Linked DNA regions of Bombyx mori. The protein of the gene in region 1 purifies or fractionates together with the protein of each later gene. This does not show direct contact. Links are inferred from orthologs where the notes say so. Each region holds a gene or a part of one and is shown on either strand. Other genes may lie near its edges. The genes, in order: U6 snRNA-associated Sm-like protein LSm6, squamous cell carcinoma antigen recognized by T-cells 3 and LSM1-like protein.

What was found.
Region 2: the proteins of U6 snRNA-associated Sm-like protein LSm6 (region 1) and squamous cell carcinoma antigen recognized by T-cells 3 purify together in Homo sapiens (affinity purification with mass spectrometry; 4 studies listed by BioGRID and IntAct, counting the BioPlex papers as one, with this or other methods). This does not show direct contact. The link is inferred for Bombyx mori from reciprocal best matches to the Homo sapiens genes LSM6 and SART3.
Region 3: the proteins of U6 snRNA-associated Sm-like protein LSm6 (region 1) and LSM1-like protein purify together in Homo sapiens (co-immunoprecipitation; 3 studies listed by BioGRID and IntAct, counting the BioPlex papers as one, with this or other methods). This does not show direct contact. The link is inferred for Bombyx mori from reciprocal best matches to the Homo sapiens genes LSM6 and LSM1.

The regions. Positions count from the first base shown.
Region 1 is NC_085134.1:2,613,457-2,617,738, reverse strand, and holds the start of U6 snRNA-associated Sm-like protein LSm6, read right to left. Parts: upstream 2,934-4,282; 5' UTR 296-2,933; coding exon 205-295; intron 1-204. Other genes in the region: GATA zinc finger domain-containing protein 1, read right to left, coding at 3,080-3,246, 3,744-3,930, 4,169-4,282. UniProt on the Homo sapiens protein: Plays a role in pre-mRNA splicing as component of the U4/U6-U5 tri-snRNP complex that is involved in spliceosome assembly, and as component of the precatalytic spliceosome (spliceosome B complex).
Region 2 is NC_085122.1:6,468,394-6,472,048, reverse strand, and holds part of squamous cell carcinoma antigen recognized by T-cells 3, read left to right. Parts: intron 1-516; coding exon 517-726; intron 727-1,063; coding exon 1,064-1,237; intron 1,238-1,974; coding exon 1,975-2,086; intron 2,087-2,585; coding exon 2,586-2,806; intron 2,807-3,546; coding exon 3,547-3,655. UniProt on the Homo sapiens protein: U6 snRNP-binding protein that functions as a recycling factor of the splicing machinery. Promotes the initial reassembly of U4 and U6 snRNPs following their ejection from the spliceosome during its maturation.
Region 3 is NC_085129.1:3,373,001-3,376,650, reverse strand, and holds LSM1-like protein, read right to left. Parts: upstream 2,350-3,650; 5' UTR 2,277-2,349; coding exon 2,219-2,276; intron 2,141-2,218; coding exon 1,956-2,140; intron 882-1,955; coding exon 708-881; 3' UTR 637-707; downstream 1-636. Other genes in the region: uncharacterized protein LOC101746363, read left to right, coding at 3,649-3,650. UniProt on the Homo sapiens protein: Plays a role in the degradation of histone mRNAs, the only eukaryotic mRNAs that are not polyadenylated. Probably also part of an LSm subunits-containing complex involved in the general process of mRNA degradation.

The DNA.
Region 1 (4,282 bases):
ATTAATTTAACGCACATTATTGAGAGCTCAATCGCAAATTAAAATAATTCGCTTAACATAACCAACAAATCCATTTTTATATCTCATAAAACTAAACAGATGATATCATTTTTTTTAAATTGTATTTTAGAGCTATGTGGTTCTTAAAAGACGAAGTGATTGTTATTACTAACTTAATAAATAAAATTTGAAAGGAAAACAAACCTCTATAGTCAACGCCGCTGTTTAATTTAACGACAACTGGGCGACCGTGAATCTGCTGTATAAACGAGGACAAAGCTTCCTTACGACTCATTTTTTGTGTTTATTTATTATTCTGATGAAATTGAAGACACGAAATACATTAAATGAAACTTAAAAATTTTCAAATTGGTCAAAGCGGGTGTTTTGATTACTTTTGATCTTTTTTTAAAGGTTTTTATGACTTGGTATCTAATACCTTTAGGTCGTCTTATTTTAATTTTAATGAATTTTTTAAAATGAAAAATTGTATTAATATTATGAAATGAAATGAAGTTGATTACTATGAAACATGGCATGAAATGAAATGTAATGAATTGAAATGAGATGTTATGAGATGAAAAATAATCTCAGTAAAATGGTGGTCATTTACTGAGACTTTTTCAGTGGACTTTTTGGAGGATGCCGAGAAGTTTGACATTCTATTTTCAAATCCAGTTATTTGTTTGTTGATTAGTGTTTTGTTTTCACTACATTTGTAATATAATGTATCTTACATCAATATGTACACGATAGAAAAGAGTGAATATGGAGAGTTCCGTCGCCGTGGCAATGCCGCAAAACGGCTCATATTATGTTTGGTATTTAAGAAATAATGTGTATGTACGGAAAGAACACTACAAAAGAACGCACGATTGGCCTGTACGGTTCAGCACAGAAGTTTTGATTTAAAACATTTTGCAGCTTTCAACGTTAGGATCAGAAGAATATTAGTTCATTTGGGTCAAGTTGGTGGGCAAAACTTGATATGTGGCACCCCCACACGAACTGAACGATCGTCACCCCATTAGGGTATCTTGAAGCATATTGTCATCTACGATGAATTATGTTGTTTATAATCATAAGCGGTCACATCAAGCTGGTCATTTGCGATGAAAAATGGATTATTGTTTATAATCATAAGCGGTCATCAAGCGGGTTGCAAACACACCCTGATTCAGAACTAGAGGCGACTTTACCTATGGTGCGAGGTGTGTGTGAGTTGCAGATGCGCGCTGCGGTTTTAGGGTGCACCGGCCTCTGCATTCTTAATGAATCAGTTAGATTTGTTCCTTTTTTTTTTTTTTTTTTTCGGGCCGGGGGCCGAACCTCCTACGAGGTCCCCGCGCCTAGGGGGCGCGCGGGGTATGTGAGACTCAGCGATCTGCAGGTGTTGAGAGCAGATCGCGGGCCCAAGGATTTTAGGGCCCACCCACCAAACGACTCCCCTGCACTCTTACACCCGACGTCCGATCTCCGTCCGGGGTCAGAACCCGTTCAGTGTAGGGGGGTTCCCGCGGTCAACACTACAACCAGACACGCGGCGCCACCCCGAGGACGCCCGACCGACGGGTCGTCGAGGCGATAGTCGACGACCAACGACGTCGGTCTCCGCGGTACGGCGGCCCTACCAGGCCGCCCGGGTGGTGCCGCTGGTGTTCCGGGATACCCCGCTGGGCCAGAACCAGCCTGCCGGGTCGGAACGCGATACACCGCCGACCGGGTTGCTCTTCAACAGTATGTTCGGCGACGACAGCGACGACGAAAATGCGGACCGCATCGCAGTCCGCAGCCGCCGACGCGCCGTCCCGTCCTCCTGGTGCAGTTAGATTTGTTCCTAGTCCAACTTGATTGCACGCTTACTAGAGGGCGCTAGAATAATTATTGCACTCGGACATTACATGGACTAGAGGTTCAGTACAAAGGCAATGCCTCAAATGAAAATCTATCTCTAAATATGTCATGTTCACTGTTTAGTGGCTTTGTTCTGGTATAATTCATCACAGCTTCCTACCAAATAGCATCATTACTACAGATGTGTATGGTGAGGAACAGGATACAATGATGAAGAAGCTTTTGTATCTCCAGCCTGCCCTTCTTAATCGCTTGTCCACACTTCTCCTATATGACAACGCTCAACCTCATATGGTACAATCGACCGTCTTTAAGCTACAAGAGGTATGGATGGAAGTTTTTGCATCCACCATACACACAAGTTGTTGCGCCAACAGACTTACTATTATCCTTTTTCCAAAGTTTGAACAACTTCTTGGTAGGGTAAAAATGCAATACCCAAGAGGTTAACTGAAAATAATTGGGCTTCCATACGCTCCACTTCTTCAAGGGCATTGAAAGATAGGCAAAAAAATATCAGTGATCTAGGGAAACAGCATAGTTACTACTTACTACTATGAATACTTATACCAAATTTTCTGGAGGAAAAAAAATGTTGGTTGGTTTGAATGATTAAAGTGAATGATGTGTGTTATTGAATGATTGATAACTGTCCACTTCGATAAAGCGGCACGACACGAGAACCCTCTCATCGTGGCCGCTGGTAACTACATTCCCGATCCTGCGGACAGAATGGAAAGCAGTCGACGTCGCCCAAAACACGTCATCTCGGATCCTCCTGATCCACTAACGGTGCTTTTAGGTACTTAAAGCACCGGTCACCGTTCTCGTCGAACCCGTCGCTTGCGACGAAGGGCTCGACGAGTAAATTAACTCTCAGACACAGCCCACTGAGTTTCTCGCCGGATCTTCTCAGTGGGTCGCGTTTCCGATCCGGTGGTAGATTCTGCGAAGCACGGCTCTTGCTAGGGTTCGTGTTAGCAACATCGTCAGGTTTGAGCCCCGTGAGCTCACCTACTAAAGTTAGGGTTACGCTGACAGCCGCTAGGGCTATCAGCTTAGGTAGGGAAAAAAAAAAAAAAAATTATAACTGTGAATGATATCGAAATTCAAATTGTGCTCTAAATTTAAATAAATGTTAACTACGGGGTATATGGGGTAATAAAACTAAACATAAACAGTATTTTTTTGTAACAAAATGTTCACTTTGCTTAAATATAAAAGTCTACGTTCTCTCTTTAGCTTCCATCGAAGTCCATACAAAACCAGTATAATTATTCAGTTCATTATCAGTCAGTGGGTATGGACTGTTGCTCGCTTTGTAGTAATCAGATGGAGCATGCATCACAAATTCCATGTATTCCAGTTTCCGAGGCAGCTCTTCTTCAGGGCCTGAAAATTTACAGCAATATTAACCTTAACTGTCACATTTTTTATATACACTATTCTTTTTTTTGCTATATGGCAGTTGAGTTTTCGTGATGCTATTGTTGCCAGTATTGAGTTAGTAAAAATCATATTTACAAAATAAAAATAAAAAATTAAGCTGAATTTAATTAAGTTGGTTTATTTCATTATATTCATTATATTGGGATGAAATTACATGATATAGATTGAAACAAGACGAGAGGAAGTGAAATCAAACAATGCAGGCTTTTTAGAAATGCCGTGTCAAGCGACTTATTTCGTTTTCTGCTATTCACGAGCTTTGATCGAATACACATTTAATGAGTCACTATTATTACAAGTGGAAAATCTAAAGCACTAAATTTACAAAATGAAAAAAATCACCCAAAATGCCTTAGATATTGAATAAATACTTTAATCACCTACTTCTGCCTGTTGCAAATATCTGTATTTCTAATTAAAATATTATTAAAAGCTCATACCAATGATATATGTAGCAGGATCAAAACATTTCTCTGGAGGTGGGCTCGCTTTTGTAGGTAATAACCAAGTAACAGCTGCACTCTTCTCACAGTACTCATCAGTTAGGAAGCCTCTAATTTGGGCATAGTATGTGCCACCATCAATGTCAGTCATCGAAACAATATCACCAACTTGCATGTACATACCCTGAAAAAATTACCACAGACTATTCAAAGCAGAACCGAGGTAATTTTTCAAGTTTTCATGTTTACTGTGAATAATAAGTTAGGGTTTTTTAAATTAAATTAATCTCTAATCAGTTTTTAAACTATAATTAGTATGCGATATAGCCTCAAGATTATTGAAAAATAAAAAAAAAGGTATATTTCTACAGCTGTTGTATATCTAACTACAGATTTTAATTGGATTAAATAATTGAACAGACCTGATAAAATACTGAATCACTTGTAACAACAGTCGCTGTAGCTGTTGGTGCTTTCAATGGCTGCCTTTTGAATAGACTCCTGCGTCCTCTGCCCCGCGGCGCCGGCTGCTTCAA
Region 2 (3,655 bases), on another chromosome or scaffold:
ACTGTATTTCCTTTGTGATTTTTCTTAGGTGGTTTGTGAAGTCTGCCGTTAAATTACGAATACTAGTGAATTCCCTTTGATTTTAATTTGAAAGTAATATTGTGAAAGTATGTAATAATATTGCGCGTCTTGTAGCTGTTGAGTCCTGTTCAGAAGTGAAGGTGGTTGTGTGTTTTGTCCGCGTCGCGGAGCTCGCCATTCCGCCGGTTTGCCACCCCCTCCCTCGCCGCGCTGCCTGCGTCTTTCCCGACTTTGCGAAAGAGGAGTTGATGCGTAAACAAGTATTATTATTCGCCAACAGATGTCGGCTAAAGTTGATCATTGAAAACACGAATAAAACAACATTTTCTGAAAATAAATCGTAGCTAAATCGATTTATCGCCCCCGAAATCCCCTGTATACTAAATTTTAAGAAAATCGTTGGAGCCGTTTTCGTGATTCAGATTATATATATACAAGAATTGCTCGTTTAAAGGTATAAGAAAGATATATTTTTTCTTCTGGCCACCAATAAAGCTCCTGTACGACCGGGCGACGTACGAATGTCTGCTCAATCCGGCCGTGTTCGAGTTGCTGGTCGAGTTCGCGAAGCACACCCAGGTGACGTCATCACGCGCGACGTACTGGCGCGTCCTCGAGCTGTGCACGCGGCGCTGTCCGCAGAAGCACACCTTTTGGACCCTCAAGATGCAGCAGGCTGAACACGAGGAGAAAGACTTCGACGAGGTTCGTCAAATAAATTGTAAACAATTGATCAATGATAGAATTTCCTTTTTTTTTGGAACGAAGTTCCTTATGGGACGATGCGGAGGGGTACCCTAACCAGGAAAAAACGTCCGTAACGTAAGATTTTTATTTGTAATGCACACAGTGTACGACTTAACTTTGTAATAACGTACAAATTAGTCATGCACACAGTGTACGACTTAGCTTTGTAATAACGTACTAAAAATAGCATTTTTTTATCATTCATTTCAATAAACAGATATATACCGTTTACATATAATATGAAATAAATTAGCTTGTTGACTAACACACAAAATTAATTTTTTTTGGAAATCAGGTGAAGTCGATCTTCGAGACTGCCTTATCGAAAGGTCTGGAATCTTACAAGGAGGCTGAAATGCTATGGCTGAACTATCTCGAGTACGTGCGCCGCAACACGAAGTTCAGTGACGACGATCAGATTGAGCGGTTGAGGCGCACATTCAGGCTGGCCTGGGACTCGCTTGCTGAGGTAACCAACGAAATCTGAATAGTTTGCACGTAGATAATTTTTGCACGTTTTTTTACTGGTGGTAGGACCTCTTGTGAGTCCGCGCGGGTGGGTGCGACCACTCTGCCTATTTCAGGCGTGAAGCAGTAATGCGATTCGGTTTGAAGGGTGGGGCAGCCGTTGTAACTATACTTGAGACCTTAGAACTTAACTCGAGGTGGGTGGCGCATTTACGTTGTAGATGTCTATGCGCTCCAGTAACACACCAGGTGGGCTGTGAGCTCGTCCACCAATCTAAGCAATAAAATAAAAGATAATTTAAATCTTCGCGTTTCATTCAAAAATTTGTGTTTCTACACAAGTGTCTGTTGTCTGTGGTAAAAGTTTGTGGATCTATTGTTGTTTTTCTTTTTTTTTTCTACTTTTCTACTTGTTTGCTTCGTATTTGAGAAACTACAGTTTTTATATGTTTGAATTTTATCATTTATTTTAAGCGTACTTAAATTTCAATTAGAACATTTTTGGAATTCTGTTCATTCAACACATTACTAATTTTCTCATACTCATTGAATTTATACAGTTGTGAGGCAACTCAATAAAAAATTGGCCTTTTAAATAGAGTTACGTATATTCGTTGTTCAATTATGTTTTTTTTTTTGAAGATTGAAGAGAACTTCCTTAATGCAGGCGTCCATAGCAAATGATCTCCTATTTTAGATATCCGTATTTTATTTAATTGAATTTTTGCGGTGTCATAGGCATGGGGCGATGAAGCGAATGATTGTGAGATACCATTGTATTGGGCAAGAATTGAATACAAATTCTTGAATTCACCAAAACGAGGGAAAGAGATCTTTGAAGAATTATTCAGTAAGTTGTTTATTTACAGAAATTGAACTGCGATAATGATTTTAATTTAAAATTACTTGGGCTTGCTTTTCATCTTCCTTTGCTTTTTTTCGCCTCAAAAAAAAAAGTGACATCTACATTTCAAGGGCTGTCTTGTATAACGAGCAGACGAGAAATTACATAATATTATATTATAAACTTATATTAAAAACATAGTAGCTACTGTAGTCCACAAACACAAAAAAATATCTATCTTACTGACTTTAAACATGATAGTCATTATTTTGTATACCAGTTATCCGACGTTCCATTGAAAAAGTATAATGTTCGGTTTATCCTAAGCTAGTAAATTATTCAAAAACGATAAATAGATATACTGGCCGGTAAAAATAGATTAAATTAACTCCATAAAACTAAGTATATGAAGAAAGCTTCAATTTTTATTTCAATCACCTCACTGAATAGACAATAACAATAAACCGATCGATAATAATAATTGATAATCAATTATCTTTTTTAGAATATGGCTTCAATAAAACCATGTCCAAGTATTGGGAAGCTTTGATACAATTAGAAAGTAGCCGGTCTCCTCCGCTGTCCGAGTTCAAGTTCCGGGATCTGCTGAGACGCGCGTTGAGGTCGGTCACCGACTACCCCCCGGCCATAGCGCGCCTCTGGACTGATTACGAACGAGACTACGGGAAGCTGGACACCAGTAAGGAGTGTCAAGAAACTTGTGAGGTTTGTCAATCTGTATGATTCGTAAAGTGGCAGAGTGTTTTTTTTTTTTCCTTCCTTAGCTGATGGTCTTGAGAGACCAGTGTCAACGGGCGGGTAGATGAGCTCACGGGGCTCAAACCTAACGTTGTTGCTGACACGAACCGTAGAAGAGCAGTGCTTCGCAAAATCTAAGACCAGATGAGGAGATCCGCAGAGAAACTCAGTGGGCTGTGTCTGTGGGTTAATTTACTCGACAATTGGTTTCCTTGCATCGATAATCCTCAATGCTGAGATTCATGGCCTCATGAGGCTTTCTTGGGATAATACACATGGTGGGCTCTCGCGTTATTCCACGGCAGTGCTTTTAGAAGAGATTTAGTTCTCAGTATTCGCCAGACATTCGGTGTTTACTATTTCACTGCGAAAAGGTCGAACTCCAACTCAGCTCTCCTCTTTTCTCATCCGAGTTTGGGATCGGCATTGGCAGAGTGATTTATAAGGTCGGAGAATTGAATGTTGCCTCAGCGTTACAAGGGATTTTGGAACAGTATTGTACAAATCCTTGTCTAGGAATAAGTTTAAAAAATCTAATTACAACTGAAGAAGCTATATTGATTGATTTACCATAGCAATGTTAACCTCAGAGGTCAGATCGGATTTGTGAAATTAAATCAAATGTTTTTTATTTATTTATTGAAAATAATTCAGACGATGTAGTTTCAGAATGAAAATTAAAAGTTATTTTAAAATTAATTTTTCAGTTAAAAATACGGGAGTGGAGGAAGAATTATCAAGCCTTGAAGGAAAATATGACAAACAAAAACGATACTGATAAAACAAATGATAATAAGAAAGGAAAATCAGCCAACA
Region 3 (3,650 bases), on another chromosome or scaffold:
CAGCCAGGTCTGCAATTCCGTGTTGGAATATAATAGGAGAGGTATGTGACAAGTTTTCAGCTTGCCTCAAATACCTACCCAAAAATTGGTACCAGCTCTCGGACTATCTGCTGTAAATCCTTTGATTCGAATCTATTGAGTGAAGTCTGTCTCCCAGCAAAAGTAGTAGTGCACGCACTAGTCAGGTAGGGTGACAATAAAAAAGTAGATGAGAAAAGAAGGAAACCAGGGTTTGTGTCGTAAATTCAGAACATTCACTAGGGGACATGTTTCTACGAAAAAGCGGTAAGACACGATAGCCCTCTTATTGTGACTGCCTCTAACATACAATCCACTCAGTCCACTAAAATTATAGTGTGATTTTTGTGACATGATTGTATATTTTGGCAAGGAATCAGTCATGCTTTCCTGCCAGAGGGCATTATACAAAATAATTGACACTTCGTTCTCAACATTCAACCAGGTAAAGGACTATGTTACAAAAATTCCTATCTTTTTGCAAAATATCATTTAAATTCGCTAAGATTTGCAGATTGTGTAACCAAAACAGTTTTTTTTTTATACTAACATAAAATTAATTTATGTATTTAGTAAAATTACAAATAAATAAAAGCCACAGAAAAGAAAAAAAATCAATATTATAATAATTTTAGTTCACATTATTACAGCCTTTTAACAAATATAAATTTTAATATATTTCCGAAAACTTAAAACATATCATCGTGTCCAAGATCTGCTAGTAAATTAAGCCCTCTTTCTTTTAAAGCTTTTGATAACAATTTTTGTTGATCAATCTTCGCATCTTGTTCTCTTCTTTGAGCATCTAGTATTTCATCTACTGATACTTCCGTTAGAGGGAGATTTTCTTCTTTGTCTTTGTCCTAAAAAAGAAATATGTTAATTCAATAGTATTTTTAATGTTATCTATTTTACTTTTGATATGCAATTAAAGTTCAAAATGAAACCATATTTTAATATTATGTTTAATAAATTCTTAGACATTGGTTATCAACAAGTGGTTATGTCTTTATTGATTTTAAATTGTTCTATTATTGTTGTACTTATTTCACAAAAACTTTACCAGTTTTACTTTAATACAGTAAATAGTGGCACTAACTTCATTGTTACCATCAATAAATATTACAAGTACTTATTGTTTCCATATCACCCTGTTCTTTTGGTATCTATAACTATTCTATTTTTTATTGATATGCAAATAAACTCAGCTCACTTCGTAATAGGTGGTTACTATGTTACACAAATATCTCTATGACTGCCAGTTACTGGGCTTGAGACAAGAGGTCACATATTGGTCTCATTGAAAAAACAACTGTAATTTAAAAATTAAACTAAAAACATGCTTATATTGCAAACCCAACTAACTATTTAGTCAGACTAAGTAAAAATTTAAGAGCAAAGTTATGAAATTATTGTATTCTTATCAGTCCATAATGCATGTGCACATTTTTTAATTAATCAGACATCTTAAAGTCAGTGAAAATTATGTTCAAAGATTAAATTACATATTAACCAATATACATACAACCCCAACATTGCAAGTTAATAAAAGCATGATAATAGGTAATAACTCTATTGCATTGCAATTACAGTTATTGCTAAAACATAGTAACATTTCAAATATTCACACAACTCTGAGTTTAGAGCTAGCAATACAGAAATAAATATTTTTCCATAATAAATATTTTAGAATATGTTTCAATGTAGTTAAGTTTACAATTCACTTTTGCCTCCGTAAGCTGTCCATTCATTGTGCTGATAAGGTTGGCAGCAAGACAGGTTAAAAAATTTGTTTGGACTAAATTGGGTATAAGTGGAAGGTAAGACTGCTAAGGACAGAAAAAATAAGCTGTAGTAATAGTCCCAAATGGCTAGTCTTATGAATAAAAGTATTACAACTTTAATAACATTTTAAAAATCAAAATAGCTATACATACTATTTCACCAAGTAGAACAACATTCTCTCCTCTAACAATGAAAATGCCTCTCGGAATATCACCGTATTCTTTGCCAACGTGTATTCGTTCTATTGTCTTGTGGAGCACTAGATTAGCGAATTGATCCACGCAGCGTAAATACCCGATAAGCGTCCTTCCGTCACGCAGCAACACCATTAGTTTCTCTTTACAAAATAATAATCGGTTACATTGTATTCAAATAAACAGTCAAGGAAGCACAGGTTCGAATAGTGGGCACCTACTGTCTAATTCGTCGAGAAGATGCGCCGTCCCAGCTAAAGGGTTTGTATTACTAGACATTTTAATTGATAGTATTTATTCAATTTTATTCATAAAATAAAGTAAAATTTATAATTTTAGCGAAATTTCGAAAGTTTGCTAATTTTGATGTCAATTCTGTCAATCTTTTATTCGTTCATTAGACAAGCAGAGGGAACTATTTCATACAAGCATGTGCTTTAAAAGACAGACCCGAAGCAAATTATTATTCTATTGCTTTGCGCGAGAACTGAATAGAAATATATTTAAAAAAAGATGTTAATAACGACATGGAGTTGTATGAGAAGATATGAACTAAAGGAGATAATAAAATGAGTTAATAAAAATTGTTGGATATATGATAAAAGTAATTTAAAATCTCAATAAAATGGTAAAGAATTATTGATAGTTCTATAGAATTTATAATCGAAGTCATGCCCAACGTTTATGTTCCATTTTCTCACATTTGTTGCAGATACTAATTGTTTAAGCCTGAGGTACCACTAAATCAACAAAATAAATCGATTCACACAACTTAACACTTAGCTTTATCGGCAAAAAGTTTCATAATTGCAACTTTCATTGTGCTACACGCCACATTTATTCATGCCGCACAAATATTTTAACTGTACATAAAGTGGTGAAATTTATTTTCAATGGCCATCAATACCCTTTTAAAGCTTTAGTTTGACAGTTTATATGTTTTTGTTTCCAATGTCACAACATGTAGGTAGTTTAGAGAAGCCATGGAGTTAATAAGTACCAGAATAGTAACTCTATGAGAGAAGCTTTGCCATCAGAAACTTGTCACTGTCTTATTAGACTTTTTGGCGGAAACGCGAGGAGCGAAGTTGTGTGAATTGTTTTATTTTGTCTATTTCGTATTTCGTTTGTTCGTATGTTTAAATGTGTAACAACGGTGATTTATTAACTGTTTAATATCGGTGAAAGTGCACAAAAGTTGTAAAATGAAACAAAGGCGCTGGACGTAGGTTCTCGGGATCCTCCAAAAAGTTTATTGAAAAAGTCTCAGTAAATAACCACCATTTTACTGAGTTTATATTTCATCCTATATCATTTTATTTGATTAATATTCGATGTTCCCAATTAATCAACTCCATTTCATTTCACTTTTAAAATTTAAAAAAAAAAAAAAAGAATAGGCTGTATGGTATGATACATCTGCCTTTCCAGTTGGAAAAATAGTACTACAACTACTGTTCTGTCACTGTCAATCAATCAAACTAACTCGGGCTTTCACGTACGATATTAATTTTATTTTATTTTTTTGAAATATTATTTATTGCCGAGGATAAAATCAAGCGAAGTGATATGGTACGCTGACTGTTAGAGTGTGTGTGGTATTTAAATGCTTTTTATATAGTTATTGTCTGTATTTGTAATAAGTCGTAAAAT